Alligator mississippiensis: one gene and its partner. The protein of the gene in region 2 interacts with the protein of the main gene of each other region in a pairwise test. Links are inferred from orthologs where the notes say so. Each region holds a gene or a part of one and is shown on either strand. Other genes may lie near its edges. The genes, in order: PDCD7 and FEZ1.

Region 1 (15,301 bases), on a different chromosome or scaffold from region 2:
GGACAGATATTTGGCTGGGGTGATATGACCCCAGCAGCCGTTCCTGCCCAGGCCAGGGGGTCGGACCTGATGATCTGTTGAGGTCCCTTCCGACCCCAAGCACTATGATACTATGATGTACGTCTAGCAATCTCTTTTATAGATTCATAGATGCAGGATGGATGCTAGGGTTGGAAGGGACCTCAACAGATCATCGAGTCTGACTCTCTGGTGCTGGGTCAGATGGCCCCAGCCAGATGCCTATCTAGCCTTCTCTTAAAGGCTCCCAAGGTAAAGGAGAGCACCACCTGCCTTGGAACCCTGTTCCAAATTCTGGCCACCCTTACCATGAAGAAGTTCTTTCTGATGTCCAGCCTAAATCTGCTGTCAGTTTGTGACTATTGTTTCTTGTTACCCTAAGAAGCTCGCCCTGGTGAACACAGCATCTCCGGTTCTTTGCTGTGCCCTCCTAATGAGTTTGTAGGCACCAACCTAATGAGTTTTGTAGCAGTCAAGGACAAAGAGTTAAAAGAGAAAGAGAAGACAGAATCCAGTCTACCTATTACCAGCATAGAGCCCTGTGCCATATGTCAAAGTAGACCAAAAGAATGGCTGCACTGTACATGGCAAGACAGAACATGTCATGTTTTACAAGCACGTGAAAACTAAAAAAGCAGAATAAGCCCTGTCCTGTCTGTAGGCAGTCAATTGAGATGCTTGTGTTAACTTATTTTGGTTAGAAGGATGTTGAACAGAACAAGCGCAGTAAAGCAAAAACATTGCAAGATTTCATAGCCTGAAACTATGATTTAAACAATGAAACAAAACAAACTGTTTTTGTACATTTGAAGACTTATTTTGGAGGTTTGTGCCTAAACAGATGTAATCCAAAATAACATGTGCACTGGATTTATAACTGAACACACTCTAAATTTAGTCATTTTGGGGGTTCTCTAAAAGAGAAATGTTTGTTTCAAGATTGAGAGCAAGATTTCCTACCAACAGTCACATACCATATGCAGCTATTAATGACACTTGTATAAGTGGGTGGCACACATTTTAAAAACTAATTCAATGCTCATTAGAAGAGACTTCTTGTATGAGTTTATATTATTGGAAGTCCTCCTACCTCTCTTTAATCAATATACATAACATTTGTAAAGAGATAGAGAAGTAAAAACAATAAATTCTAGTATAGCTATTTCTTAGTGAAGACATAATAGATTAGAATTCCAGATAAATCTTTTTGAAAAATAACATTTTGACTCATTCGTCCTTACAATGTAAATCGATCTGCATAGATAAATTAAGGGGCAGTACTTCTGCTGTAAACTAACCTCAAGAAATGTGAAAATTAGTAAAGCATTTCTAATAGTCATCTGTTTCAGTCAAAAAATGGAATGGAAAAGAGTGGGTTTAGAATGCAGGAGCCGTTATCTTCACAAAAACAAAGGGTACATTTTAGTCACTACATAACTTGTGATTCAGTACCAACCATGGATGGTGTCAAATGGAAGAAGAGAGTTACAGCCTGGTCCAAAACATTTTTCAGGCCTATTTCAAATGATTTGATAGTCTATCCTGGTACTGATGGATAGATCCAATTTGGACATACCTATACACACCTTTAATGTGACACTCCAAAACTTCAGACTGTCTTATGGTAAAGTTATCTGACAGCAGTGGCCCAAGTGTCACTGGTAGGAGGAGCTGGGAGGACCCATCCTGGAGGGATGCAGCTTCCTTCAGGATGATCTGCTGGTACCAAATACCGGTCCCATTCATGCCTGGAAGAGGAGAATGTTTACAAAGGATGTTTGTTCCGTTTCACTTCACCCATAAGACTGCTTATGATATGCTGATACACGTGCATTTCTTTTCATACTGTCTGCTACGTAAGTCAACTGATAAGATCACTCTCTGAATTACATTCTTTAAAGCAAAAGCTTGAAGGCTGAACTCAGATCCCTACAAACAAACGTGTAAGTTCTAAATGTATAGGGTGTGCCATGGCCACCTTTCTCAAGCCACAGGCCAGAACAACCCTGATCCAGTCTGACATGGACTGGGTGGCCTACATAGCACATCAGCTTGGGGGAGAGCCACGTAGCTGGGAACTACACCTGCACTGCTGGTGTTTTTCTCTACCCCCACCCCCCAGAAGGGAGCAGTGCCAGGCTCAGGCCAGTTAAGGATGGGGAGGGCAGTAGTAGTGTGGGAGCAGCTTCCAGCTGCCCAGCCCTAGTGCAGCTCCTTGCTGCTCAGCCCCTGCAGGGGTGGGGCAGAGGCAAAGCCCTCCAGTTCTATAGGCCTTATGCTGCTGACCCTTGCTCTAGGACAGCAGCTCCCAAACTCTGACAGATTGTGCACCACCAATTTAAAACAATACAACCTGAAGTGCCACCAGCACTTAAGGTGGGGGGGGTGTGCACATGTGTGTGTACAGTAGAGTGTGGGGAGGTGTGTATGGTGGGGTGTGTGGGCGAGTTGTGGGTATGTGGGGTTTGTGGGGTGCGAGGAACCTCCACACTTCCCCCATGGCACAGTAGCAGGTGGGGGTGTAGCTCCGGCCAGCACTGCACATCACGTATCCTTCGTCAGGCAGTCTGTATCGCCAGCACTCCCTGAGCACAGGAGGGAAGCCCAGCACTGAAGCCAGCTGACTTTCACACCCCCCAGGGGAAGGCACCTGGGGCTTTCTTCCCATGCTGTGCAGCCCCAGTGAAGAAGGCAGCCAGCTCCAGCACGCGGGGCTTCCCTCCAATGCCCACTGAGTGTGAGAGCTACACACATGTGCAGAAAGCACTGGTGACAGACAGGCCAGAACAGGCTGTGCCTCTAGTGATGAGCAGTGCTGGCCAGAGCTGTGCCCATCCAGGTGCCTGTGCATCTGAGTGCCCCACCTGCTGCTGCTGCCACCACCTGCCAGGCCTGCGCGCCATTTGGGGGGGGGGGGGGGGGGGGGGGGTGGAAGCACAGGGGGTTCCCCCTGTTGCTTCCCCACCTGTTGCCTGGAGCCAGCAGGACACTGGGAAGTGGAGCAGGTACCTGGGGGCTGCTCCATCTGGAAGCTGTGTGCTGGCGGGGCCAGGCCCCTCTGCCCACAAGGGTAGGAGCAAGGCAATAGGGTATGTTTGGGGCTGTGTGTACATGTTACATGTGCGTGCCTCATTCCCATCCTCATGGGTGGAAGGTCTGGGTGGGGCATGCAAACCACTGGTGGTATGCATACCACAGACTGGGAACCACTGCTCTAGGATATCACTGTAGAGAAACCAAAAGTAATGTATCCAAATTATCCAAGTTTTCTTAGCCTCATAAGGGTGAATAAGGAAAACAGAGATTTATAACCACCTGAAGAAACCTGATTAGTATTTGTGAGAGATAACTTTGTATTCACAAGTCGGTGAACCAGGAGAGGCTGCGATTTTATCTTTAAATATATCTATATAACCAAGTGCCACTTTAGTATTGTATGCAGTAAAGATGCTGGTTGCTCTCACCTGATCTGGATGAGGACTGGTACAGAATGCTCAGCTTGTAAATAATACTGTTGGAAGGGTCGCAGCAGATGGCCAAGGGGGAACTCATCTGTTACAACACATTAAAAATTATTCAGTAAAATGCCACAAATTCCAGCTCAACAAAGAAAGCCTAGACAATGAAGATGCCTTCCTGACTTAGCACTTTGCCACTCTATAACTAACGCTTAAATTAATGTATGAATTAGCAAATAACTTATCAGAAAGATCTACATTCAAATTGGCATCAAAAGTTTCATACTGAAAAAGCACTACCCATATATATGCAAGCCCTCCTCTTCACTGCCCAGCAGGGAAACACACAGTACTAGATGGGAAGGACAAATAGCATTGGCTGAATGCCAGTACTAAAGCATCTACACCGTGGGAGGTTTACCACCTAAACCAATGGTGTGCAACCTTTTGGTGCAGCTCCCAGCTGAGCAATGTGGAACCCCCCTGCGTGCCAGGACTGGGCCCTGAGCCACCTCCAGCTGGGCCCTGTGTGCCCAAGACCAGGCCCCGGGGCACCGACATGCACCATCCAACATGCTATCTAGCCCACAGGACTCCCCACAGGTCCGGAAATTTGGCAGCAGGGGAGCAGTAATTGCTGCCACTGTTCCCCCACGAACAAGTTTTTGGGCCCCTGCAGGCCAGCTGGCATGACTCCAGGGGATGGATCTGGCCCATGGGCCAGGGGTTGAGCATCTCCAATCTAAACAGCCAATTCAACCTAAACTGCTTGGCTTGCAAGATGTGACGAGACACTAGTTTATGACATGGTTAACATTTCCAGTTCTTACTGCCACACCTTTTGAATTTGATAAATTTAATGAAAGAACTTGACTGAACTCGTGTCATCTCCACATCTTCATGGCATCACCTATTTCAGCACGTCGGCTTTTGTAAACAAAGCTTTATGCTATCACTTTAACCATAACCTTGCTGGTTTTCACAAAAACTCCCCAATACCAAAGCAAAATTTGCAGCCACGTACCCGGATTGCCAAACAGCACAGACTCGATTTCACGTTTCTGCTGCAGAAGCTTCTCTCTTTCTTTCTTCTGCTTCTTTTCCATTTCTCTTTTCCTCTCTTCTTCCTGCTCTCCTTCTAACATGACTCGTAGAGCTCTCTCTTCAGCTTCATACAGTTCAGTCCGTTTTTTAATCAATGTCCTCATCTTCTGAATATTATGTTCAAAAGCTTCATCTGCTGATGGGGGTGGACAGACACCTACAGAACGAGAGCGAAAACTTCAAAAAAAAAAAAATCAACCTCGAAATCAGTTTCACACTGAGAGGCAATTCGCAGCATTTTGGACAAACCTGCGTCTAAGTCAAGAATTTTTCTCGCAGCTATCTTTCGATAAAATGAGTTACGTGGAGGAGTTTGGAATGGGAGTGAAGCTGCTATATTCCACATGCTAGAAAACAGATCCTTGAAGGCAGTATTATAAAAGCATCCAATTAAAAATTTACAAGTCTGGAATAAAATCTGCCAAAGCAGCAACCTTCCCAGTGCTCCTTCCAGCAAGGTAGCTGGCACATGAGGCTTGTTGGTTACGCTCAAGGATGCTACAGAATCTTCCTCTTGGTGTGGCTATTTGGTACACTCACTGTACACTATTAAATACATAAAACATGCGATTGTTCATGTCTACCATTAACTACTACTTCTTCATCGCCATCACTATTAAGTCAGAGAGTCTTACCAAAAGAAGCCATTGATCGGGATGGGCAATTATTTTGGGCAGAGGGCAGAGTTTTGGCAAGCCATCGAGGGCCCCATGACAGGCAACCAGGGGCAGATAAATATTAATTCTCTAAATTTTTTAGGGGCTCTGCAGGCCAGATAGGTTGGTCTGGCGGGCCACAACCAGCCCATGGGCCGCATTTTGCCACCCCTGCGTTAAATAAAGGACTTAAAACAGATCAAAGGTACCCATTAGAGACCAATATTTTGCAAAGTCAGGGAGTGGTAATAGGTTAAACTGAGGAAGGCCTTATTAAAATAAATACCAAAAAGCCACCGAGAAAGCCCGAATCAGGATTTAAAGCATTAAGAGCTCTCTTCCAATAAAGCCCTTAAGTGAACCTTTTGCTTATGAGAAGAGGACACTACTACAGCCCTTACGCTGTCTGAACCCCTCAGAAACTTACTGAGGGACAAAAGCTGAGCAAGATTTTGTTGTTATCGCACTAGAGTCTCACCAGAAAGCGTGCGTTATTTCAACGGTTGCATGAACTAGAGAGATATATTTTGCTTTACTCCATAAGCAGCCAGAAAGAAGTGAGGCTGCTTGCAAAGTAAACGACTAATTAATATCCTGTCTTGTACCTGGTCTTTAACAGGGTTTGGCAAAAAAAAATAAAAAAATCCCTTCCCCCTACTGAAATTGCTCGTTATTGCCTGCATTTATAATAGTTCACAAAAACCGCACCAAATTTACCTTTTCTTCCTGCGGCTTCTTTTCTCAGTTTTCTAAGCTTTTCTAAGCCCCGAAGGATTTCCACCATTCTCTTCGTGTCTGCCTGCTTCCTCCTTACCTCCGACAAGACGCTGTCGGCAGCCGCTTTGAGCTCCTGCTCCTGCGTTGGGGGGAAAGCAGAAAGAAAACGTGAGCCCCGGCAGGTACTCGCGAATACAGACAGCGACAAGAAGCGTAAAGGGAAGAATAACTGAAATCCGTAACGGCGTCCCAGGACTGACGAAGCGTCTCATCGACAAAGATGCGGGAAGTCAAAACAGCACATTTTAAAAGAGAACGAAAAACACGGCAGAGGGGCCAAAAACGAAGGCAGCGGTTGAGGGATACGGAAACAGGACGTCCTTTCAACCTTAACTCAGCGGTCCCGAAACTTTTTCAGTGGACGTACCCCTCGGTCTCCGAGTGAGACTTCACGTACCCCCGTTCAACGGGGATTAGTTAACACAGGTGGTTAGACAACGTATAAATATCTCGTGGGCCCCGGTTGAGAACCGCTGCCGTAACTCTTCCGAGCAAATACATCGGGGAGTTTAAATGACAGAATTATTTAGCGACTGAGCTAGACGAGGGGTGCTCGTGCCCAAAGGTTTGCCAAAAAAACAAAAAGGAGGAAAAGAAAGGGGAGGGGGTTTTTTTTGGGGTGGGGGGGTGCCCCGCTCACCCGCGCCCTCTCGGCCGCCTCGTGCCCGCGCCGCGCGCGCCACCGGTCGATGAGGGCCTCGCGCTCGGCGGCGCGCGCCTCCTCCTCGGCGCGGGCCGCGCGCGCCCCCCGCCGCCGGCGCCGCCGCTTCTCGCGGGCCCGCGCCGCGCGCTCCCGCAGGGCCGCCAGGAAGGCGGGGGCGCGCAGGGGGGCGGCGCGCTCCCGCAGGGCGGCCAGGGCGGCCCCGGCGCGCTCGCGCTCCCGCTCCGCCTCGGCCCCGCGCTCCGCCCCCGCCTCCTCCAGGCGGCGCAGGGCCGCGCAGCGCGCCGCCACCTCGGCCACCAGCGGCAGCGCCCCCGCCGCCAGCGCGCGCGCCCGACGCTCGCTCGGGCCCGCGCACGGGGCAGGCGCAGGGCCTGTGGGAGGGGGAGGCGGGGGCGCGGGCGGAGAGGGAGGGGGAGGGGGAGGCGCGGGCCGCGCGCGCCGCCGCGACATCAACTGCGCCACCCACTGCTCGTCCCGCTGCCGCTCCGCGCCCGGCCCTGGCCCCGGCCCCGGCCCCAGCCCCGGCCTCGGCCCCGCGCCCGGCCCGCAGCCCGGCGGAGGCGGCGGCGCCCAGGCGGGCGGCCCGGGCCGGCAGTAGGCGGCGGCGGCGGGCAGCAGCAGCGGCGGGTCGGGGCCGGGCGGCGGCAGGAAGGGCGGCGGCCCCGGGAAGCGCGGCCCGGGCGGAGGAGGCGGCGGCGGCGGCGGGAAGCCGCGGAACGGGCCCGGGCCCGGGCCCAGGCCCGGCGGCGGGAAGCGCGCGGCGAAGGGCGGCGGTGGTGGAGGCCCGGCCATGCTCCCTCCTCAGGCGGCTGGAGGGGCGGGGCCGCGCTCGCTGAATATGCATGAGGGGGCGGGGCCTGCGGGGCGTTGACTGACTGCGCACAAGGGGGCGGGGTCAGACGGTGACTGCAAGCGAAGGGGCGGGGCCTGGCGGAGTGACTGCGCACGAGGGTGGGTGTTGCGTGCGCGTAAAGATGTAGGGGGGCGGCTGCTGCTGAATATTTATGAGGCACAGTGGATAGGTCGGCTAGTGATGAATATGCATGAGGTGGGTGGGGGAAGACAGGTGGTCCAGAGATGCCTATGCATGAGGCCACACACACACACGCGGGTCCAGTGGTGAATACTAAAGGGGGGGTTGGCGTTGGGGATGGTGCAGAAGGTGCACGAGGAGGTACAGCACGTGGGGGGCGGGGTGCTGGGGGCCAAGCTGGTGCTGCCTCGCCCAAGCAGCAAGGCCCGACTCGTGCGGGGCCAGCGGCCCCCCTTGCTCCTCTCCTCCAGGGCGGGCGTGGGACAAGCAGCGCCTTGCCGCTGCACAGGCCGGATCTGGGCTAGCACGTGCACGCAGCGGCTAGCAGGGCACAGGAAGAGTCGCAGCCAGCAGGCTCTGTCCCTCCCTCAGGCACATGGCACAACTCCAAGGTGGGAGGCAGATGTGCAGGCCGCAGGAAGGCTACTGCGTGGGGACCAGGAGAGCGAAAGCTCCTGGTTTCACCTGCCCTCGCACCTAGAGATGAGCCTGCGTCAGCAAGTGGGATGACAGAGATCGGCGGTTCATGAATATCTGCTGTTTTATTCAAACGCCAAAGCTGGTTTGGAAGTACAAAGAGTAGTTACACAGCATTTTGTTTCTGTAAAAACTTTTCTTGATTACACATTTCTCAACAACTTTCAAAACTAAGTTGTTTGATGGTTTTCATTAAAATGGCCTTCAGTCCGTTTGGAGGAAAAAAGGTAATTTCTAACAGAATTAAAAGCCATTTTACTTTTCACTCTACAAAAAGGAAAAGGAGGATAGGATACCTAAGTTACAGATACTGGAAGTCAGAGAGTTTACGCTAGGTTAAACCGATCACCTGAATCTTTCCTGAGCTTTGAAAGTAGCCTTTTCTGACCTGTGACCAGAAAGAGAAAAACATCTGCTGCATCTGGTTTAAAGTCATGTTTACTATATCTGTTTTCTAAAAGCACATAAAGTATGACATGACTTTCTTATTTAAATGTTAAACCCTAAACTATTCATGAGACAATGGGGACTAGGACCAATAAAAATCAATAGTACCAAAAACTTTTACTGCTATTACTAGACTAAAAATGGTAATGAAGGTTTTCATTAGCAAGTATGAATCAAAATTCAGGAACAGGACTTAGGAAAAGCTAGACTCACATATCACTGTAAAGAATAAAGCAGTTGTAGATAACCATTTTAATTTTTTAAATGAATCAAAAGCCATACAAGTCCTTTAGAGTTTTCACAAACACTTTCCTAAAGGATTATTAAATTTATTTGGGTGTAAAACAGAAATCAAGGGTCTTTGCTTTGCTGCAAATCTAAAAATCAAGAGACAAAAACACAAGATGCAACACCAGCATTTAAGCGTGTAACTTTAAAAAAGCATGGTCATGTGTACAGTCACTATTGATTACATCAAAATTATTATACAATAACTTTACTGTCTTCATCTCTTAATGTTATAAGAAGATAAGGTTGGGCAAATATCTGGCACCAAAAAATTGATGCACAATAGTTCCGATAATTCGAACAAAATGCATGTATTAGAACATAAATATTTTAAAACGTTATGCCAACATGGTATATCCCACTGCCTTTACATCTTCACCGTCCTCCACAAATCCAGCAGGTTTCACCGGCTCTCTCAGTATTCCAGATGCTCTGTTAAACCTATAGCTAATGGCAAGGTAAAGAAGTTAGGAAATGGCATTAGATATTGTATCCAATTATTGTAAATGTGTTACATTTTAGCAGACTTGCAGAAAAGGGTCATAAAGCAGTATCTGAGGTTTGGAAAATCCAGTTTAGGGCATGTCTCAAGACAAATGTAACAAATCCCTCCAGCACCCATTTGGTTCTGAAAATGAACAGAAACTTAACACTGACCTGAACTTAACCCAAGTGAATTATAAGACGAATTCATAGTTTATCTATCCTCTAGTTAATATTAAGCTTGTTTTCCCATTTGTAGAGTAATATTACCATAAAAGTTTTTTTAGCTGTTGGCAATAACTGCATTGGGTTTAGTTCCAGAAAACAACCCAGGTGTTGCCAAGCTTGTTAGAGCTTTTTTTTTTTTTTTCAAACTGAACAAAAATAACGTACAATTTATACTCGACATTATGCCACCAAAGTCCAAATAATGTCCAATGAAGAAAAATCAATGTGATGATACAATAAATACATGATCTGATTTATTTAACTGCAAGTTTTTTGACCATGTATCATATGCCGGATAGATCCAACGCCTTTAGTGTCAGACTGTAAAGCCCAGTATGATCTTGTAATAACCAAGTGTGCTTTATGCAGGAGAGCCTTTTGACAGTACTTAATTGTTTGCAGCGTCTGCTTGACGAGGCCAGCCTTCCTCTTCAACTCCGGAGTCATACTCTTCCTCGGATGAATCTTTAGTCGGAGTCCTACAATTAAAATGAACTGATCAGGTATGTTAACATCTGAGAAGAGAATGGAGGCAGGATGACTGGAATGGAAACAGCACATTGTCTACTTTAAAACACTCAGGCCAAAGTTTCATTTTAAAAACCCAATTTATTTGCTTGAAAGAGTTCATCACAGAATTCTTTTGTGATAACTGGCAAAGCTTAAGCTTGGACTAACGCAGAGCGAGTGACACTTATTCTGCACTTAATTCAACTGTTACTGAGAGAATACTGGTTTACACTGCAGCGGTTCCTTCTACAGCAGAAAATCAACATGCTGAATTAAGCCTCAGCATCAATGTGAAGTAAATAGCAGCATTATTTCCATTAGTCAGAAAGACAGTATGTACCATAATGAATGCCACGTGGGAGCTTTACGAGACCTACAACCCCCGACTCCTAGTCTTGTCTCTTAAACACAAGACCTCTTCCCACATCTGCATCACTAGTTAACGAGACTTAAAAAAATCACCCTCTGTCCAAGTCTTTAGATGCTCTAACTCATCACTAATATAATATCATCCTAGCAGCACTGAAGTCATCATTTCAACAGGAATTCAGCCAACCAGCCACCTCCAGGAACTCCTTTCCCCATCCTTTCACCTTTGTGGGAAGCAGAGCCTCAACCCCTCTCAAGAATACCAGCAGAAATATCTTGCAAACAGCCCGGGTAGCCATCAACTTTGAGCTACTTCAGACTAAGGGAATCAGAGGAGCCAGTTTTGATTTTTTTCTCCAAGAATTTCAATGCCCTGCCTATTACTAAGGACTAACAATGATAATTCCCCCCCTTCTTCAGGAAATTCAACACAATCACCCATTTAAACAGAGTGTTATATGTTCTTGATAAAGTCATTGTACTATTTACCCACAGACAGGCACACGTCAAGTTAAAACAAATGTCATGTATTTACATTTATTTGGTAATTTACAGTTATTTTTATATTTTTAATCAGAAAGAAGCCAAGGTGTCTCGACTATGTAGCAAGTGCCCTTTACCTACTGTGTATGGCACATAGAAAGAAGGATTCTTGGTTTTAAAAGGTGCGCACAATTTTTATTTTCTTGTTTCTAACGCACCTAATTGACAAGCAGTAGGGCACTTGCCTAGATGTGCTACCAGTCTGCTGTGGTATTGCCATTCCTATTTTACCTAATGTATCCTGGCTCTTTTTTGCCTTCTACAACATCTTTGTCGACCTCCACACATACAATATCAGAATTCGGTACTTCGAACATGGGCTCCAACAACAACTTCTCCTACGAGGAAAGAAAAACAAACGTGTATTTCACCTAGTCCTTCACACAATAATGGTTGGTTGGGTACTCTGTTAGAAGAAATCTGACTACCCTTACCACTGGGAAAAGGTTTATTCTCCATAACTGAACATCCCACTTAAATTACCCTTAAAGAACAAGCTCTCTTGACAAGGACAATGCGCATAATTCAAATACATCTACTCAGGATGCAAATAATTAGTGCTACTTAATAAAGAGCTCACCATTATAGATCGAAGGCCTCTTGCACCAGTCTTCCTGTCCAGAGCCAGTCTGGCTATGGCTTTCAGTGCATCTTCAGTCACATTTAATTCACACTACGTGTAGAAAAGTAACATTGGATATTTTATTTGTATGTCTAACTTCTATGTTTTCCCCATCTTTCTTTTAACTGTGCTTGTGGCAAAATTGCATGCGAGTATTTTTAAATGGCTAGGTCATCCTTTGGTAACTTTTTCCATACAAAGTATTCAAACATAGAAAGATCTCACCAGAGCCCTCTGGATTGCAGCATCTTCCACTCTTATTTTGGGTTTTTAAAACCTTGCCACTGGTCCCCTGGACTATGCATATAATTCACTGTGAAAAAAGTAGTCCAAGGTCTGTCCCAAGCCACAGTGTTTTGGCAGATTGGCATGGTTAAGTCAGGTTAGTTTCTGCAACCAACAGCACACGAGTGTGATATGGCCAGTCATGCTGGCCGTCTTAGGTTCCCTGGTCCGAGGATGGGGGTTTATACTAGGGGTGCACTGATAGAGGTTTTGGCGGCTGATACCGATAGCTGATTTTTAAGGAGGCGTTATCAGCGAATACTGATCCGATTTCCGATATCAGCCTGGCAGTTTGGAGAGCTGATGTCTGGTGTGGTAGAAGGGGAGGAGGAAGGGAAGGGGTGTGGCGATTGGGGCAGATCAAGGCCCCCACAGAGAGGGAGGAGTGGGGCTGGGGCAAGCATTGCCCAGCCAGGGTGGGGCAGGTGCAGGATGGAGCTGTGGCTAGTCCAGGGGGTGGCTCCTGCCACTGCGCGCCGCTCGTCCAGTGGTTCATCTGGAGCTCACCTGGTGGCTCTCACCACTCGTCTGGGACAGCACGGGGGGGGGGGGGGGGGGGGGGGGGGGGGGGGAATCCTCCGGATCCGTGCAGAGTGCACTGGGGCTGCACCAAGCTTTTCCCAGCTGGGCTCAGGCCAGATGGTGACGGTCCTGGGAGGGGACTACAGCAAATTCTAGGGTGGCTGCAACCCCCCTTCCCCTCCCCCCGCCCAATTCCCAGAGCCACGGTTGCCCAGCCTGAGCCCAGGCCAGCCAGGAAGAGCATGGTGTATGCCCTGCCCCAGCCCACCCTGGGCAGATCCGAGCAGCAGGAACTGCCAGATGTGCAGGCAAGCACCAGACGAGCCGCTGGATCAGCGGTGCGTGCTGACACCTCCCTCCCCGCACCGCCAATCCGCAGCTTTGTCCCAAGCCCACCCCATCCCAGCTGGGCAGTGATTGCCCCAGCCCCACTCCTTCCTCAGCGCAGGGGCCTTGATCTGCCCCACCCATGCTCCTTCCCTTCCCCCTGCTCCGTCTTTTCTACCACACCAGACTTACCAGCTACCAGCTGTGCTCCTCACTGCCTGTGCTGCGCTACAGATGTGCGCGTGCATGGGCCATTTATCAGCCAAATTACTGGCCTGATATGGCTGATTTCTAATACAGACATTTTTCTTTATATTGGTGCCGATCTGAGATCAGATCAATGTATCAGCGCACCTCTAGTTTTCACCAGGACCCAATCTAACCAATTACATTTTAACTAGCTTCCACAAAATAGTCTGTTCTAACTAGTTTTTGTGCAGGTAGAAATGGTTCAATTTTGATATTACAGTAAAAGCTGTGTTATCCGGCATCCCCTGGGAATGGGGGATGCTGGATAATAAAATATGCCGGTTAATTGAGTGGCCCAGATCACCACTTCTCCCACCATGTCTGGGGCATCCCACTGCCCCTCCCACGGCATCGCCACCCCTCCCACCGCATCACCGCCCCTCCTGCGGGCCCTGCAGGCCCCGTGGGTCAGGGAGGCGGGCCCCGCACAGCCTGTTATGCCCCCTGGGCCGTGGGAGCTCAGCATCACAGGCTGCTTTGCCCTGGGGGCTCAGAGAAACCAGAAGTGCCACGGTGGGCACTTCCAGTTTCACTTTATCTTACAAGCCGGCATGCCAGTTAATTGAGCATGCTGGCTTGTAAGATACCAGTTAACAGAACTTTTATTGTAATATAAAAAGTCTCTATAGTAGTCCAGGGCCTTGAACTAGGTCCAAACAACGTAAACATGACCTGTTATGGAAAAAGGCCAGAGTAGCCTTATAGACATGGTACCAAAACAGCAGAGCAGGGGTGGGCAAAATATGACCCCCAGAGCCCCTAAAAAATTAGACAAGTAATATTTATCTGCCCTGGCTGCCTGTCAAAGATGACCCAGGAGGCTCCAGTGGCAGGACCCAGCAGCAGCAGGGCCTGCCTGCCCCCCACCTGATGCCCAGCTCACAACTGGAAGCTTCTGCCTGCCAGAGGCTTCTGGCCTGAGACCCTGGGGCTGTTTCACACCTCTCTCTGTCCAAAAGTGGAGAATCAGATGGGTGGAGCAGGAAAGGGGAGTGCGGGAAGAGGATCGCCACCACAGTAGGAGCCAGCCGGCTCCTGCTGTGCTGTGCAGTCCTGGCCATGCAGCTGGGAAGCCCGCCGCTCTGGCAACACATGGGGGTGGTGTGTGGGGAACATCGGGGGGGGGGCATGGTGGCAGTGGTGGGTGAAGAAGGGAAGTGGCAGCAGGCACAGGAAAGAAAGTGGCAGCGAGTGGGAATGGGAGCAAGACCCAGCTAGAAAGCGTGGGGACTGGGCTGGCTTCTGCTGCTTTCTGCATTGCAGCCAGGAACCACACGCTACCAGGAGGTGCCTGGCCAAGCCGGCCAGCTCCGTGCCACACTGCGCTTCTCGGCCACAGTGCCGGGACCACAGAATGCAGCAGGAGCCAGACCGGCCCCTGTGGTTCCCAGCTGGCTCCTGCTGCCGCCTCTATGGCAGAGGCTGTGCACCTGCAGCTCCCACACTCGCAACAGGGGAAAACCCACACTGCAGCCGGCTGCCTTCCCTGCCTCCTGCTGTGGCTCTGCTGGGAGTGGAGGGAGCCCCAATTCCCTGCTTCACTGCAGAGTCCAGCAGAGCACTGCTTCCCCCAGTGCGAGTGCGGGAGCTGCAGGCATGCAGCACAGAGCCTCCATGATAGAGGTGGACAGACAGGCTGTGCTCCTCCCCACTACGGCCTGTGCCAGGCATGAGCTCCCTAAGCCCCCCTGCCTGATGCTGGCATTGAGGGCTGCATGCCATGTGGGGGAGTGGGGGTTCCCCACACCCCCCACCCTCCCTCATACCCCACAAACCTCCATCCCCACATATACACCCCCCCAAAACACCCTATGCCCCCCCACAAGCCTCCCACCCCATCATACACACCCTTCCTGCCACACAATATAAAAGTGAGATTATTTTTGAGTAATTATGCAATGCCTTCTATATACACTACACAAACAAATCATGATAAATGATTCTGTAATAAAATTAAAATATATTTTAATTATGGAGCTGAGGATGGCAACCCAAGTAAAAGACAACAAGAAATTGTTTTTTTAGATATATTGGGAGTAAAAGGAAGGCCCAGGGAGGAACAGGACCCCTGCTAAATGGGCAGAAACAATTGGTGACAGATAGGGGGGACAAGGCTGAACTCCTCAACGAGTTCTTTGCCTCAGTGTTCCTAAGCGAGGGGCACGACAAGTCTCTCCCTGGGGTTGCAGAGAGGCAGCAGCAAGGCGCCAGACTGCCATGCGTAGACCCTGAGGTGGTGCA
Region 2 (15,063 bases):
CCACATCCCTCCAGGTCGAAAATGACCCGTCCACCACCACTCTCTGGGTGCGCCTCTCCAGCCAGTTAGTGACCCAATTGACTGTGTAGGTGTCAACACCACAGTCCCCCAGTTTTTTAATGAGAATGGGGTGAGAGACAGTGTCGAAGGCCTTCCTAAAGTCCAGAAATACTATGTCCACTGCTACACCTGCATCTAAGGATTTTGTGACCTGGTCATAAAAGGCCACCAGGTTGGTCTGACAGGACCTGCCTCTAATGAACCCATGTTGGTTGCCCCTAAGCATAACCTCCCCTGCTCGTTCCTCGCGGACATGTGCCAGGATAATTCTCTCAAAAAGCTTACCCAGGATGGAGGTAAGACTAACTGGCCTACAGTTTCCTGGGTCCTCCTTCCTCCCTTTTTTGAAAATGGGAACCACATTGGCCCTTTTCCAGTCCTCTGGCACCAAATCAGAGCACTATGAGCACACCAGAGCACCACCTCCCTTTCCACCACACCAGACTTACCAGCTAGAGGCAGCTGTATTGGAAATCAGATCGGTATCAGCTGATATGCCTCCTTAAATATCGGCTATCAGTATCGGCCTCAAAAATCTCTATCAGTGCACCCCTACAGCTCTGCTTTAAGTTAATGGTTTTAAGGCAATCTCATCATGCAAGGCTTCAGCCTGTTGTCTGCTGCAATCAGTAATGTTTCTGTTTCTTCAACTGCATTGTATTGTTTGCTGTTGTTTTCATTTGTTTTTTCCCACCATCCTCTGAAGTAGTGGTGCTCAACCTTGTGGCCCCATGGGCCAAATGAGGAGTATGGGACTGATCCATGGGCTGGACTTGACCCCAATCTCAGAATCAAGCCTGCACACTTGGATTCAAACCATACTGCCCCCACCAGGCCCTGCATTGGCAACGCATAGGGGGTGCACACAGATGTAAAAAGGCGGCATCTGCGGGTGGTTGCCAACTGCAGGTCGGCACTTGCCTCCCACCCCTCTGCTGCCAACAGTGCCTCAGCTGCCTGCGGGAGCTCGCCACGCCCCTCCCCCCCCAGCCTCCAGGGACACATGGAATTTACAGGACCCCATGGCCCTAGGACCCCATGCTGCCTCCACTTGGTCCTACATACTGGAAGCAGGCCTCTGGGACCCCATGCTGCTCCTGCCCAGCCCCCCATGCAGGAACTGGGGCCCTGGACCGCACACTGCCTCCATCCAGTCCTGCATGCTAGGGTCAGGGCCCTAGGAACCTGCACCACCTCCATTAGGCTCTGGAAGCCAGGATCAGGCTCTGGGATCCTGCAGTGCTTCCACCAGGCTTTGTGTGCAGATATCAGGCTCTAGGGCTCAGACCACCTTTGCCAGGTTCCATACACTTGGAACACCAGGCCCTGCATGCTGGGATCAGGCTATGGGGCCTTGAAGCACCTCCACCCAGCTTTGTGCACACAGCTCAGGCTTGTACCATCTCTGTGCACTGGAATCAAGCCCTGCACTGCTTCAGGGCCCTATGCCACCTCCACCTGGCCCTGTGTGCTGAGACCAGGCCCCATGGGCCATAGCTGGGCCAGGGATTGCATACCTTCTGTTCTGAAGCAGTGCTGCTCAAACTTCCAGCCCTGTGGGCTAAATAAATGGCACAGGGCTGGTACATGGGGCAGATCCTGTAGATGGGGTTTGGTCCACAGGCTAGATCCGCTGTAGGGTCAGTGCAGAGTTGGTCCATGGGTGTGATCCAGTATGCCAACCGAGCCCTGCACATCAGATATGGCCACAGACCAATCCTGCATGCCAGCCAAGCTCCACACACTAGATCAGAGGCAGGCAATTATTTTGCGCGGAGGACCACTTACTGAGTTTTGGCAAGGCATCGAGGGCTGCATGACACGCAGCCCAGGGCAGATTAATATTAATTTTCTAAATTTTTTAGGGGCCCCGCAGGCCAGATAGAATGGCTTGGCAGTCCGCATATGGCCCATGGGCCGCATTTTTCACACCCCTGCACTAGATCCAGCTGTGGCCCAACTCTGTGCACCAGTGCAATCCAGCATGTGAGGTCATGTTATCTGGCCCATGGGCCTTTTGTTACGCCTCAGCTCTGTATTCTTGGGCAACCCTGGCACAGGATGCAGTCTGTCTGACTCACAATGGACTCACCCCCCCCCCCCTCCCCTCCTCTACCTAAATGAAACTGATTAAGATGCAGTGAGAGACGCACCTAAGACCCTCACCAGATAAGGGTGACAAGAGTGAATCAACTGCCCTAGGTCTCATTTACATCTGAGATGGAACCAGATGACCATTCATTTACATGAGAGATGGAAAACAGAAAGCCTGAAGCAGTGAATTCTGGGACCAGAGAAGCAGGAGAGCGCTGCATGAGGAGGAATCTGTGCTTCCAATGTTAATCAACCCATGTTCACACACACCCAGCTCAGCATTTATCAGACCAGTTCTAATCTGGATTTGCTAAGGACTTTCCCCCCCCAGACACACACACACACAGCTCTAAGTTTAATAGGCATCTCGGGCCGTACATTCCCCGGTCCCACTATGGGAGGCCTATTTAAACTTGATTGACTAAAACTCGGTTGCTGGGTTAAGGAATGCTGAGGCAAGAGACCGAGTCAGGGGGGGTATGGGCAACATTGGAACAATGGTTAAGGGTTCATCACAGTATCCAGCCTGCTGGAGCCCTAATCCCATGTGTTGTCATATCTTTCCCAAGACGACTGGTGGAAGTCCTCTCCACAAAAGGTTATGAGCACCCCACTAATTGCTTTAAGTCTGTTAAAAGACTATAGTAAGATCTGGAAAAGTCATGCTAAGCTGAGGCTTGTGCACAACAAGTAAAAATCCAAAATCCTGATGCTGCAAGCTATCTATTGTTCCTGAAGAAACCATGAGATATCCCATCAGTATATCTGCCATACATAGGAATTTCAAGCTGGCTCCCAAGTATTTGGTTACTCCCTAATCTTAAGTGTTTCCTGATTATCAATCAGTTTCCTGAGATGGTCCAAACCAGATAACCCCTTGTCAATAGAAAAGACAATGATTTACACTACTGAGGGTGCTTCGAAGCAGCTGAACTGAGGGTATAAAAATCTGTAAGTGTGTGTGCTTCAAAAAGAAAAGAAGCAGCAGCAGGAGGAAAGAAGGAGAAGAAGAAAGAAGAAGAAAACCCCTGTGCTGACACCATCCCCTGTCATTCTTGGGACGCTGGAAGAACAGTTCATCTCTCTCTTCAAGGATTGTGCTACGGACTGTGCCTGTCAGCTTTGGAGCCTGAGTACCGTGGATTAGGTGAGATCCCAGCGCTCGATTTCTCTCTCCTCTCCAGGCATAAACTTCTGAACCTGAACTGTATTAGTTAAGCTTGAGCTAAGTTTCCCCAAATACTTAGTGAAACCAGGGTAGTATTGTCATTGTTGGTGTTTGTTTTTCTTTTGCATGTCTATTACTACTAGTACTATTATATATTTCATATGCTTAGCAATAAATAACTTTTATAGTCAAACTGGTAGTAATTGGGTATATTTTTCCTTCTCTGCTTCTCGTTCCTCCCATGCTCTGCAGCAACGCTTCTTTTACCTATGCTAAAGATCCCTGTGAAGCCCAAAATTATTGTGGGGTCTGCTCATCAAGAGGCCAAAGATTGGGACGTGCTGAGTTTGAAACACATAAGGGGATCAGCTTGTACAGGCTGATTGACCCAGTTTGACTCAGACGTGCCCTTATGAACTGAATGCTGGCCCATGAGGGTGTCAGCTGGACACCCAGCCGGATTCAGAGGGATTCTGTTTACCTGTGTGCTTGTGTCTGACTGCAGTTTATGTTGCTCTTATGAACTGATTCTTGGCATATGAGGGTGTCAGCCTGTCCATGCTGATCAGCCTGGCCAGGTCAGGTGTGTCACGTTAATTTGCGTGTGTTTGTGTGTATGACTGATTTGGTGGCTGGAGGAACCCAGTCCCATTGAGATTGAGTCCTGCAAGATAGCTCCATTGGGGGTGAGGGCTTGCAGAAGGGAGAAATACAGCTCCGTATAGTAACACAAGCAGCACATTGACAGAATCACCAAGACCCTAGAAACTATCCCTAATAAATGAGCACACCCCAAAGTAATGGGCAAATTTGGTAATACTTTCCATGACAATGGAAATTTGGCAGCAGTGGAGTTGTATCAGTATCAACTCCTATGGTTCTGGAAGTTGTGACAATGATGTCACTGCTCCCCTGTCATCAGATTTCCAAACCTGTCGAGAGCCCCGTGGGGCAGTTGACATGGCCCTGGGGGCCAGATTCAGCCTGCAAGTCAGCGGTCAAGTGTCACTCCTCAAGCATTAGAGTTTGTTTGCAGATAAAGACCTGAGACCAAACCAGGGTGGTATAGCTAACCCTCTGTTTATGTACCTGAATGGTCTGCCTTGCTCACATGCTCAGTCACAGTGATTCCCAGCTTTGGAATTCTCTTTCAGATCAGACTGGCAGGAACTTGGAGGGTTTTTCACTTTCTCTCCAGTATGAAGTGTGGATCAGTGAGCCCATCTTGACTCTTCCTGTTTAATCAGTTCCCTGCCCTTGCAGAGTCCTTACTTACTGGTGATACCTCCATTTATCTTGATCCCTTCCTATGGCAGGCAACATTTTATTCTTTGAAGGCATCTCAGCTTCCCTGAAGTCTCTGAACACAGGGATAGCTGGGTGAAATGTAGTAGCTCATAATAAAGAGAGAGAGTGTGCACAGGACCATACTAGATGGTTGAATGATCCCTTCTGGCTTTAAAGCCCATGAAACTGGGAAACAGAAGGCAGACTGAAGAGACCCGTTTATGAGTGCTCTTCTTCTCTTCATAAACACATGCAAAACCAGTTTCCCCTCCCTCATGTTTGCGCACACATGGCGCCTCTCCTATACATGCATAAGAGCTACTCTGCAAGCACACTCCTTCCATAAGCATGCATACACCATACCTCCCCTCTCACAAACCCGTTAAGCATCCACGTCCGAACAAATTCTACTGACCCAGCCCGGGTAGCACCCAGCATCTGCTACACCAGGGATGGGCAAAATGCAGCCCAGGGGCTGGATGCGGCCCGCCAGACCATTCTATCTGGCCCACGGGGCCCCTACATTTTTTTTTTTAAATAATATTTATGTGCGCTGGGCTGCATGTCATGCAGCCCTCGATAGCTTGCCAAAACTCAGTAAGCGGCCCTCTGCCCAAAAGAACTGCCCGCCCCTATGCTACACACACGGGGCTCTGCACCCTATATCCATGCTCCTCCCAAGAGCGTAACCTGTCTTCCTGAAAACCGCAGCCTTCCACAGGCAGACATAAGTACACGACTCTCCAGCCCGGCAACTTCTTCCTCCCGTAAAACCCCAGTCCCTCACCAAAACGCCTCCTGCAGCCCGCTTCCGTGCGCGCTCTGCGGCTTCTGCACGCGGCGCCCGCGCGCACGGTCAGCTGACAGGCGCCCCTTGGCCCTCTGCAACCCGCCCCAAATCCCCATTCAGCAGCAGGGCAGGAGCCCCTCCCCGCTGTTCTGCACGCCTACATGAGAGTCCCAGCGCCCCAGAAGCCCCTCCCGTCGCGCGCCAGCCCTCACCTGCCTCCCGCTCCAAATCGCACCGAGACAATGGGCACCTCCGCGCGCCCCCGCCCTCCCCAGCCCCCAAGCCTGCATGGCGCCGACAGACACACACAATGGCTCTGCGCACAGCGGGGAGGCGGAGGCAGAGGGGGAGGGGGAATCTTTTCAGCAGCCGAAAGAATGAATGACCAGTTTGAAGGGTTTTGGAAGCCCGCTTGCCCCCGCCGCCCGGCCGCACCCGGCTTCTTCTGGGAATAAGACAGCGGATCCCCGGGGCCAGCTCCCAGCGGCCGCACGGAACCCCCGACCCCCGGGGCTCCCCTGCAAGGACAGAGAGAAACACGCACCTGAGGGTGGCGTGGGGCCAGCAAAGCGCCTCTGAGAACACGCAGCCTCGAGCTTAGCGGGGCATCCCATCCGCCGGAGTCACGGAGCGGCGAGCGGCGGACGGCGCTAGGACTGCCCCTGCCGCCTGACAGGCGCGCTCTGCAGAGCCGCGCAATCCGCCCTCCCAGCCTCCCTCATCAATATGCATGAGCAGTCGGTGCACGAGCAATATGCGCTGACAGCAGCGCGGCGGATCCCGCTCCATGTGCAAGGCCCTCTCTGGGCAGACGCTGACGGGAGCCGCTGCCCGGGGAGAAGCCCCACTCTGGGTGCTCGGTGGGTTCTGTGGCAGCCAGCAGTCTTTGGCAGGACAGCGATTTTGTCCCTAAATCAAAATGCCAGGCTCTCAGAAACGACGCGGGCCAGCTCTGCTTTCCAGAGCACCCCGCCAGCCTGCTTCTGACGGAGAAACCAATAAAAATGGAGGCTGCTTCACAAAGACCTCAGAGAAATGAGGCAAGCGTGCTGTCTCTATAATGCTGTTGCCATTTGGGAACTTGGCAAAGGTTTTATTCAGACTCACAGAGGCACACATTTCCGCACCAGCAGCTGTCCAGCACCCTCCAGGAAAAAAATATATATAAGGGGGAAAGCTCTCTGGCAACAACAAAGGCTTGTTCTGCCTCGGTTTGCAAGCCATTTTGAGGCAGTCATTAAAATCGCTGATTGATTCCCTATATACTACTAGCACGCTCGGGGAAGGTGGAGTCAATTCAGGTTCATGGGCATTGCCATTATTCAGAACAAGCTGTGGGTCTACCCTAGTCCTGATTTCCCTTGTAAACAGATAGTTCAGCCCGTCATATTAACAATGGCTCTTTTTTTCTTCGGCTGAGCCTTAGGGTCAATTTTGGGGCGCACAGTTCCTGTGCATGAAAAGAAGTTAGGAAAGGAACATATTAAAATGGTGCCAGATCCTTTCCCCATCTTTTTTGCCTGTGGCAAAAAGCAGCCAACCAGAAAAGCATGAAGTCAAAAAGAAAAGGCTTTGCTGAAGTGGTTGAGCATGGAACAATACCTTAGGCAGATAACGTTTAGCTGCAGAGAGAGAAAGAAAATGACTGCAGCAAAATTGCTCCTATCCACTTCTGGGGAAACAGGAAAGGAAAGAGGAGAGACCCAGAACGTAAATTCTGATGTTACTGAATTTACAAGAAGTTTACTGTGTCCCTTTATACACGCAGAAAATAATATAGAGAATACATTTGAGCATGATGGGGTTCAAAGAACATTACTTACTAATTGAAACAATATGTATTGTCTAGCTTTATACTGTATTACACTTTTTGAAAAAAACTTAAAAGAGCTGTAAGGTTGCAAATCCCATTACTGAATAATTAAGAAATACCAGAAATCAGAATGCCTATGCAAACTTAATTTTTCTCCTTATGCTGATGCCACATTCTATTATTTTCATACAACCCTGGTCTCATTCACTGAAAGGGTATTTTTTTCAATTTTTCTTTGTAACTCTATCATTTAATGCACATAAACTCAAGGCTTATTTAATGCATACACAAAACTTGATTATAAAATATTAATGTTATCATATACAACCAAAATGCCCATCATGAATGATGGCAGGGATGGGGGCCTGGGGACAGAAAACTATGTCCGGCCCTGTGCCCTCCCACTGCTGCTCGAAGTCCAACCTAGCTTCCCCCTTTCCCCCCACTGCTGCTCTAGGTACTGCACTCCGCCCCCCCGCCCCCCTCCCCCCGGCCCTACCACTCTGGGTCCTGCTCTGCTCCACCCCCCTCCCATGGCTTCTCTGGGTCATGCCCTGCTCCCCCTACCACTCTGGGTCCAGCCTCACTCCACCCCCACTCCCAGCAGTTCTGCACAAAGGAGGCATGGCACACGGCTGAGCAGGGAAGTGGCGTATGGCCATGGTGCGTGACATGGGCAGTGGCCCCAGGATGTGGCGCTGTCCATGCAAGGGGGCTTGGCATACAGTCATGGGGGGGCGGGGGGGGGGCGTGGTACGCAGTTGCAGGGAGTGTGACACTTGGCCACAGGGTGCTGCATGGGGAGCGGGCATGGGGGACCACCCTGCGGATTTGTGCTGCAGCTGGCAGGTACTGCCCAAATCCCCCGTGCCCAGTCCCTGCATGGCGCCCTATGGCCATGCACCTCCGCACCACACCCCACCCCATGCACCTTGCACTACACCCCGCCCAACGCACCCCATGCCACAGATCCCCACGCATCCTGCGCACCCCACGGCCACAGCCGGCACACCACGTACCACGTGCCACAGCCTCCACATGGTCACACGCCCCACGCCATAGCCTGGGGCCACTCCCCCTGCCATGCCCCGCAGTGGGTAGCACACCCTGGCCCCAAATGCCTCCATCTTCACCTGTGTGTCTCTCTGTCCATAAGGCTCCAGGCTGCACATGCACAGTTGGCCCAGAGCATTGTGGACAGACAGATACACAGACCAAAGTGTTAAGGCTTTTATTATATTGGAATATTTCTATATTACTTTCATCATAGTAAACAAGTTCTCAAAACATTGGAATTTATCATTACAACATTCCCATGAGCAGTATTATTATCCTAACTTTAGAGCTAGGGAGAGTAAAGCACAGAGGTCTATGCTCAGAAAGGAATTTAAACAGAACTTAGGCACCTAAAGCCAAATTTATCATTCCAATAATCTCCATCATTTACTGCTGTAGGACACGATGGAACACAGGTTAGTATGAGGATTGATTAGTATATATAACACTCAGACTTTAAGATTATGAAATAGACTTCCTAGGGAGTTGTGGACCCTCCAACACTGCAGGCGTTCAAAAACAGGTTGGATAAACATTAGTCAGGAATGATCTAGACCCGGGGTGCTCAGCCCCAAGCCCACAGCCAGATCTGGCCCACAGAACCATGTCATCCAGCCTACAGGACTCTCCAGAGTGAAGAATTTTTTCCTGATATCCAATGTAAATCTACTTTGCTGCAACTTCAAGCCTCTGCTGCCCAGGCTTTGTCAGTGGACAGCCAGAAACAACATGTCTCATGAAGGGTGGAGGATGGGACTTTGGCCTCTTCCTCCCATGTAGCCAGAACTCAATCCTCTGGTAAAACTCAAACACAAAACAGTGACCTAACCTAAGTCAAATGTAAAACCCTCTGGTGCTCTTGTCCTTGAGCCGTCCTATTTAAGCCAGTTTACTTATAGATTCATAGGGTCAGAAGGGACCTCAGTGGGCCATCTAGTCCGAGCCCCTGACCCTGGCAGGCAAGAAAAGAGTAACCAACCCTGGGGTCATGTGATCCCAGCCAGGTGCCTGTTGAAGGCCCCCAAGGATGGGGCGAGCGCCACCTCCCTCGGGAGCCCATTCCAGATTCTGGCAACCCTGACCATGAAGAAGTTTTTCCTAATGTCCAGCCTAAACCTTCTCTCTAGTAGCTTATGGCCATTGTTCCTTGTCATTCCAGGGGGTGCCCTAGTGAACAGATCGTCGCCTACTCCATGTTGCTCTCCCCTTATGAATTTGTACACTGCCACAAGGTCCCCTCTCAGCCTTCTCTTGGAGAGGCTGAAGAGGTTAAAGGTCCCTTAGCCTTTCCTCGTAGGGCCTTCCCTGCAGGCCTCTACTTCCTGCCTACCAGGTACATCCCCTGGACTGGCTTGTCTTCTCACTGCAACTAGGTCTACTGGGAGCTATATGGCCTTCAGCAGCCAGGGCCAGACTGCCTTTTCCATTACAAGAAGCTGGCTTTATATGCCCCAACCTCAGCCCCCTTGCTGTTAAGTGACCCTGCAACCTGCATACAGCAACCCTCCCCTACAGTTACCACTGTTTCTGTGCCAGGGATATGATCCAGGCCTGGTGAGGCCTGTGGCAGAAGGCCACCTCTGTTTCTCCCCAAAAACTCTGCTCTGTGACAGTTTGGTTAAGATGGGCCCTGAAGAGGGCCCATCTTACCCTATCTCTTTAGGTAACCTGACCTGAATACATTCCTGAAGGAGGGGGAAACCTGCTCCCTCTGCTAACGTGACTGGCATCACGTGAGGGGCTTGGACTACCTGGGGAGCTAGGAACTACCAGTCTGCCCAACAACTAGTGATGCATTTCAAATTGGTTGGCTGACAGCCAACAGGTGCTTGCCTCCATTGGACCAGGTAAATGAGGTCATAAGGGTTATATAAGTTAAGAACTGCCCAGGAGGAGAAGGCAGCAGCCATGAGGATGACTCAGAGAGAGAGAGAAGAGCTGGACCATCTGAAACTTGCTCTCTTTCTCAAAACTCATGATCAAGGAACTGCCTGCCTCCAGAGGGAATAGCCACCTGCCTCTGGGTGATATTTGTGAGTAAGCTACCTGAGATCTAACTAGATATATAGCTTGCAGTAACTCAGATGTGTGATCAAAGGCTACCCAGCCATGCCAGTTTGCTCTATGGGATTTATCTGATATTGCTCTACTCTGTACCCTATTCCAACCCTACCCCTTGTAACCAATAAAGTTCTCCTTTGTACCTAGCATGGGATACTTATTGGGAGTGGGTCTAGATTATACCTTGGGGTCCCCTTGGTTCGGCTGACTAAGGGAGACCACTACTTGTGCTTCCAACCGAGGGAAGCATCCCAAGTGCTTAAAGTGAGTCAAGTACCCTTGAGGGCTACTAGGCCTGTGTTTCCCAAGGTGCACAGAGCCAGAATAAAGCCCAGCCCTGGGTGGTGGCAGTTTTTACCCCAGGCTAGCAGATGTGCTCCATGAAGGGGGTCGGACAGACATGAGGCACCCCCAGGGAGGTATTCAGAGCCTGGAAGGTGGCTGGGCATAGCGAGGTGGGTGGCTCAACGCAGGAGCACCCCCTACTGGCCCGCCACGTGGACAAATAGACACAAGGACCCTATACAACATGTAGTGATGGCAGAGCTTCAGGGTGAGCCATCTTTACAGAGATCTGTGCTGACCTGCTCCTGTTTCAATCAGGGGAAAGCCACTGATGTAAGAATGCCCTTGTCTATGGAGATGTGAGTGGCACTTACCATCTGGAACCTGACAACACCACCAGTCTGTAGCCAGCCACTTCAGTGTGGGCAAGTCCATGGCTGGATCTCTGAGGCATGCCAAGGTGCTGGTACTCTCCAACCTTCTATAGGGCATAGCTAAGCTCCTTGCATGGGGTTTCTTAAGTGCATTATGGTCATCAATAGCACTGACAGTGTCATCACATGCCCTGTGCACCAAAGTTTGAAGTACATCAGGTGTGAGGGTCTCCTATTTCATTCCATCTCCTATTCCATCATGCCGCAGGGTATTGTGGACAACCAGGAACAATTCACCAACATAAACACTGAGTGGTTAGACAAGGTCTATGACACTGGGGGCTACAAGAACTCCAGCATAGTGCTCTTCACTATACAGGACTTGCTAGTATCATGTTGAAGGGAATGACCATAACCCCCATGTTACTTGGGGACTCCACTCATCTGCTCCTCTCATAGTTCATAAAGCCCTTACATCAGACACTTGAATGCCAGGAAACAGCCAATTGAGCAAATGATCATAACCTTGGAGGTTCTAGTACTGAGCACTATAGACTAAGCCCATGAACACAGCAAAAGTCAGGACATTCACAAGAGATGCTCTGGCAAACTATTCTGAAGGTGCTGGACTGCAGGGCAGGAGGCAAGCCAATACATAGGATAATGTGCATACCTGTTGGTTAACCAAAATATTTTTTTTATGTGAAACATTTCAGCTATTTACATGGAGTATTATGTAAACCAAGACCAAAGTGCTCTCTGAACTGTGGATAAGGTGAATCAGGGATGGTATCTTAATTGAAGGAAGGAAGAGTGGAAGGTGGGCTCCCTAAGAGTAGTCTTGTCCCTCCAAGTCATGTTCGCTGCATACCCAGAAAGTGGGGAGTCACAGAATCATAGATAAAGATGGCTTGAAGGGACCTCCAGAGGCAGGGTCATCTCTATCCAAACCATCCCATACAACCATAATCAAAACTCAACATAAGACTACCCTCAAACTTGACACAACATAAACCTAACACCATAACCTGCCACAGGTAAAGCAGTGAAACCATGGCAGCCAATGTCCTACTTCTATAAAATGTGGTCAATATATGCTCATGAGTTCCCAGGTAGAGGTCCATACCCCCCGATACAGAGGAAGGCAAACCCATACAGTCTATACCAATCATACAATGGGGTAAAATTTCTTCCTGACCCCACATATGACGATCAGTCTGATCCTCAGTGGAGGGGCAAGGCCTTTTAGCCAAGAACCTCTGGTTTTGCTCATAGCAAGAGAATCAGTACATTCCAGCCAAGTTCCTAGCCTTAGCTGTAGTCAACAGCCAGTGCCTCTGGGGAAACTTAAAAACACCCTGATACATAGCAGCAAGGGGGGGTGGGAGGGTGGAAACCAACAAAGCACAAAGCATGGGAAATACCTATGGGAGAAAACAGGCATATCTATGCCTAGATCATCCCTGACCAGTGGCTGCCCATTAGGCCTGTGTGAAGTAGCTAGTATTCGCTTCAGATTCAGCTGATTTGGAAGACAGTGGTTCAATTCAGTGATTTGAATCACTGTCCTGATTGATTCGGCCAAATCTGATTTGGAGATGGGCAGCAGCCAAATCTTCGAATCTCTGCACTACCCAGGCCCGTCCCCCGCCCACTCTCCCAGCCCTGGCAATGGCTGCCCCGCCTGCCCCAGCTCCTGGCAAAAAAAGCCTCGGTTCACCGGGTGCTGCCGGGCAGGGGGAAAATCCCTGCTGACCCCCACTGCCCCAGGCTGCATGGGGGTCTCTGCACAAGCACCCTAACCCCAACCCCCTGCTGTCCCAGCCCCCACCCATGGCTTCCCGGCCTGGCCCAGCTCTGGCCCTTTAAGAAAAAAACCCACAAATGAGAAAACCCCCGCACTCACTGCTCCTGCCCAGCGGGGGGGGGGGGGCATTATCCCTGCTGCCACCCACTGTTCAGTGCTGCATGGGGGAGCTCTGCACAAGCCCCGCAAAGCTCCAAGCCTGCTTCAGGAGTGGTGAGTCCTGGGGTTTTTCTCAGTTTTTTTTCTTAAAGGACCAGAGCTGGGGTGGGTAGGGCAACTGTGGGAGGGCTGGGGGAGGAGAGAGGGGGAGGAAGGCTCATGGCAGAGCCCTCCATGCAGCGTGGGGCAGTGGGGGACAGCAGGGATCCCACCCACCTGGCAGCACCCATTGAGTGGGGCTATTTTTTAAAGCACTGGGAGCTGGGACAGACGGGGCAGCCATGGAGGTGGCGGGGGGGGGGGGGGGCTGGGGAAACAGGGAGGGATGGGGCCTTGCAGCCTCCCCTCCCTCATCATGGTCCTTACCTCCAGCTTCCCCTCCCCCGCCCCTACTTACCAGCTTGTAGTCCAGCTGCAACTCCCTGCTGCAGCCACTGGAGACTGTCCAAATCATCAAAGGTCTTCAAATCTTTCCCAAAGATTCAGAGAGCTTCAAATCAATTCAGACCTTTTAATTGTTCCCCTGATTCAATTTGGAGTTTCAACCACCGAATCGGGCTAAATCTCCAAATCGAATCACCATCCGAAGCTTTGCACAGCCCTACTGCCTGCCCATCCTCTTCTTCAACACCTCCAGTTATTGAGAGTCTACTACTTCCCTAGGCACTCTATTCTATTGCTTCACTATTTTAAGAGTGAAGAAGTTGGTTTTTTTCCTGATATCCAATCAAAACTTACTTTCCTGCAACTTCAAGGCATTGGTCCATGTTCTCCTCTCTGCAGTAAGAGAGAAAAGTTGCTTTCCCTTTTCTTTATGGGAGTCCTTCAAGTACTTGAAGACTGCTCTCATGTCCCTCTTAAGTGCTTTTGCTGCAAGCTGAATGCCTAGCTCCTTCAGCTTCTCTTAATATAAGCTCTTGATCATCTTTGTTGCCTACCTCTGGACCCTCTCTTAATTTCACATCCTTTTTAAAGTGTGGGGTATAGAACTGCACACGGTACTCCAGAGAAGGTCTAATTTGTGCAAAGTCTAGAGAGGCACTGTGGCCTTTTGTGTCTTGCCTCTAATACTTCTATTGATGTAGCCCAAAACCTCATTTGCTTTTTGTGCTGTTGCATCACACTGCAGACTTAAGTCCAATCTGTGGTCTACCATAACTCCCAGGTCTTTTTCTGCAGAGCTACCATCCAGCCATGTGTCACCCATTTTATGTTTGTGTTTTTGATTATTCTTTCTAAGGTGAAGGACCTTGCCTTGCCATCGCTGAAATCCATCCTGCTAGCTCAAGCCCAGTTTTCCATTCTGTCAAGATCCTTCTGAATTGTGCTCCTGTCCTCCAATATGTTCACAAGCCTTCACACTTTTTGTTGTCTACAAACTTGCTCAATAAACTTTCTATGCCATCATCCATCATTAAAACACATTGAACATCACCAGGTCCAGGACAGGCCCTTGTGGGACTCCATTTGAAACCTCTTACCATGTTGATATAAACTTGCTAATAATTCCCTTTTGCTTGTCTCTATCTAATTGGCTCGGAGCCAATTATCTAACCAACTAGTAGCAGTTTTATCTAGCCCAAATTTCTCCAATTGACTCGTAAGAAGGTCATGTGGGACCTTGTCAAAAGCCTTGCTGAAATCCAGATTGTGAGCAAGTGCCTTCTCTGTGCCTGCCACTCTAATTGTTGTCTCCCTCACTTTCGTGCCATGCCTTGTTAGGGGAAAGAAAATATAGGAAGGGACTGACAGCAACCAGAGTGGTGGATGGTTGGTGCTCCAGTATCTTCCATAGGGTTCTGCCACCCCTTATTCCCTGTCCATACCCGACCTGTGTCCAGTTAACTATATAATCTTCCATCTTCAGACATAGGGACTGTTACTCAGCTTATTTCCTCAGCAGCCTGGTTCTACCTCAGTACTTTTTCTAGGTAGCGATCCTTCTCCCTCCACTTATTTCCATAAAATACTTTCTCCACCAGTTCTATAAATAGTAGGGCTGTGCAAAGTTTTGGGTGCTGATTCAATTTGGAGGAGATTCGGCCCAATTCAGTGGCCGAAGCTCCGAATCCAAATCTAGTCAAGGGACCAATTAAAAGGTCTGAATCA

The links.
Region 1: the proteins of FEZ1 (region 2) and PDCD7 interact in a two-hybrid assay, tested with the Homo sapiens proteins (2 studies listed by BioGRID and IntAct). The link is inferred for Alligator mississippiensis from reciprocal best matches to the Homo sapiens genes FEZ1 and PDCD7.

Annotation. Positions count from the first base shown.
Region 1 is NC_081834.1:6,474,021-6,489,321, forward strand, and holds the start of PDCD7 (programmed cell death protein 7), read right to left. Parts: upstream 7,485-15,301; 5' UTR 7,470-7,484; coding exon 6,654-7,469; intron 6,093-6,653; coding exon 5,954-6,092; intron 4,738-5,953; coding exon 4,501-4,737; intron 3,571-4,500; coding exon 3,483-3,570; intron 1,767-3,482; coding exon 1,649-1,766; 3' UTR 1,605-1,648; exon of another isoform or gene 1,595-1,604; intron 1-1,594. Other genes in the region: CLPX (ATP-dependent Clp protease ATP-binding subunit clpX-like, mitochondrial), read right to left, coding at 10,022-10,112, 11,287-11,393, 11,636-11,728. UniProt on the Homo sapiens protein: Promotes apoptosis when overexpressed.
Region 2 is NC_081839.1:18,273,321-18,288,383, reverse strand, and holds the start of FEZ1 (fasciculation and elongation protein zeta-1), read right to left. Parts: upstream 6,067-15,063; 5' UTR 5,944-6,066; intron 5,634-5,943; exon of another isoform or gene 5,612-5,633; intron 5,443-5,611; exon of another isoform or gene 5,397-5,442; intron 1-5,396. UniProt on the Homo sapiens protein: May be involved in axonal outgrowth as component of the network of molecules that regulate cellular morphology and axon guidance machinery.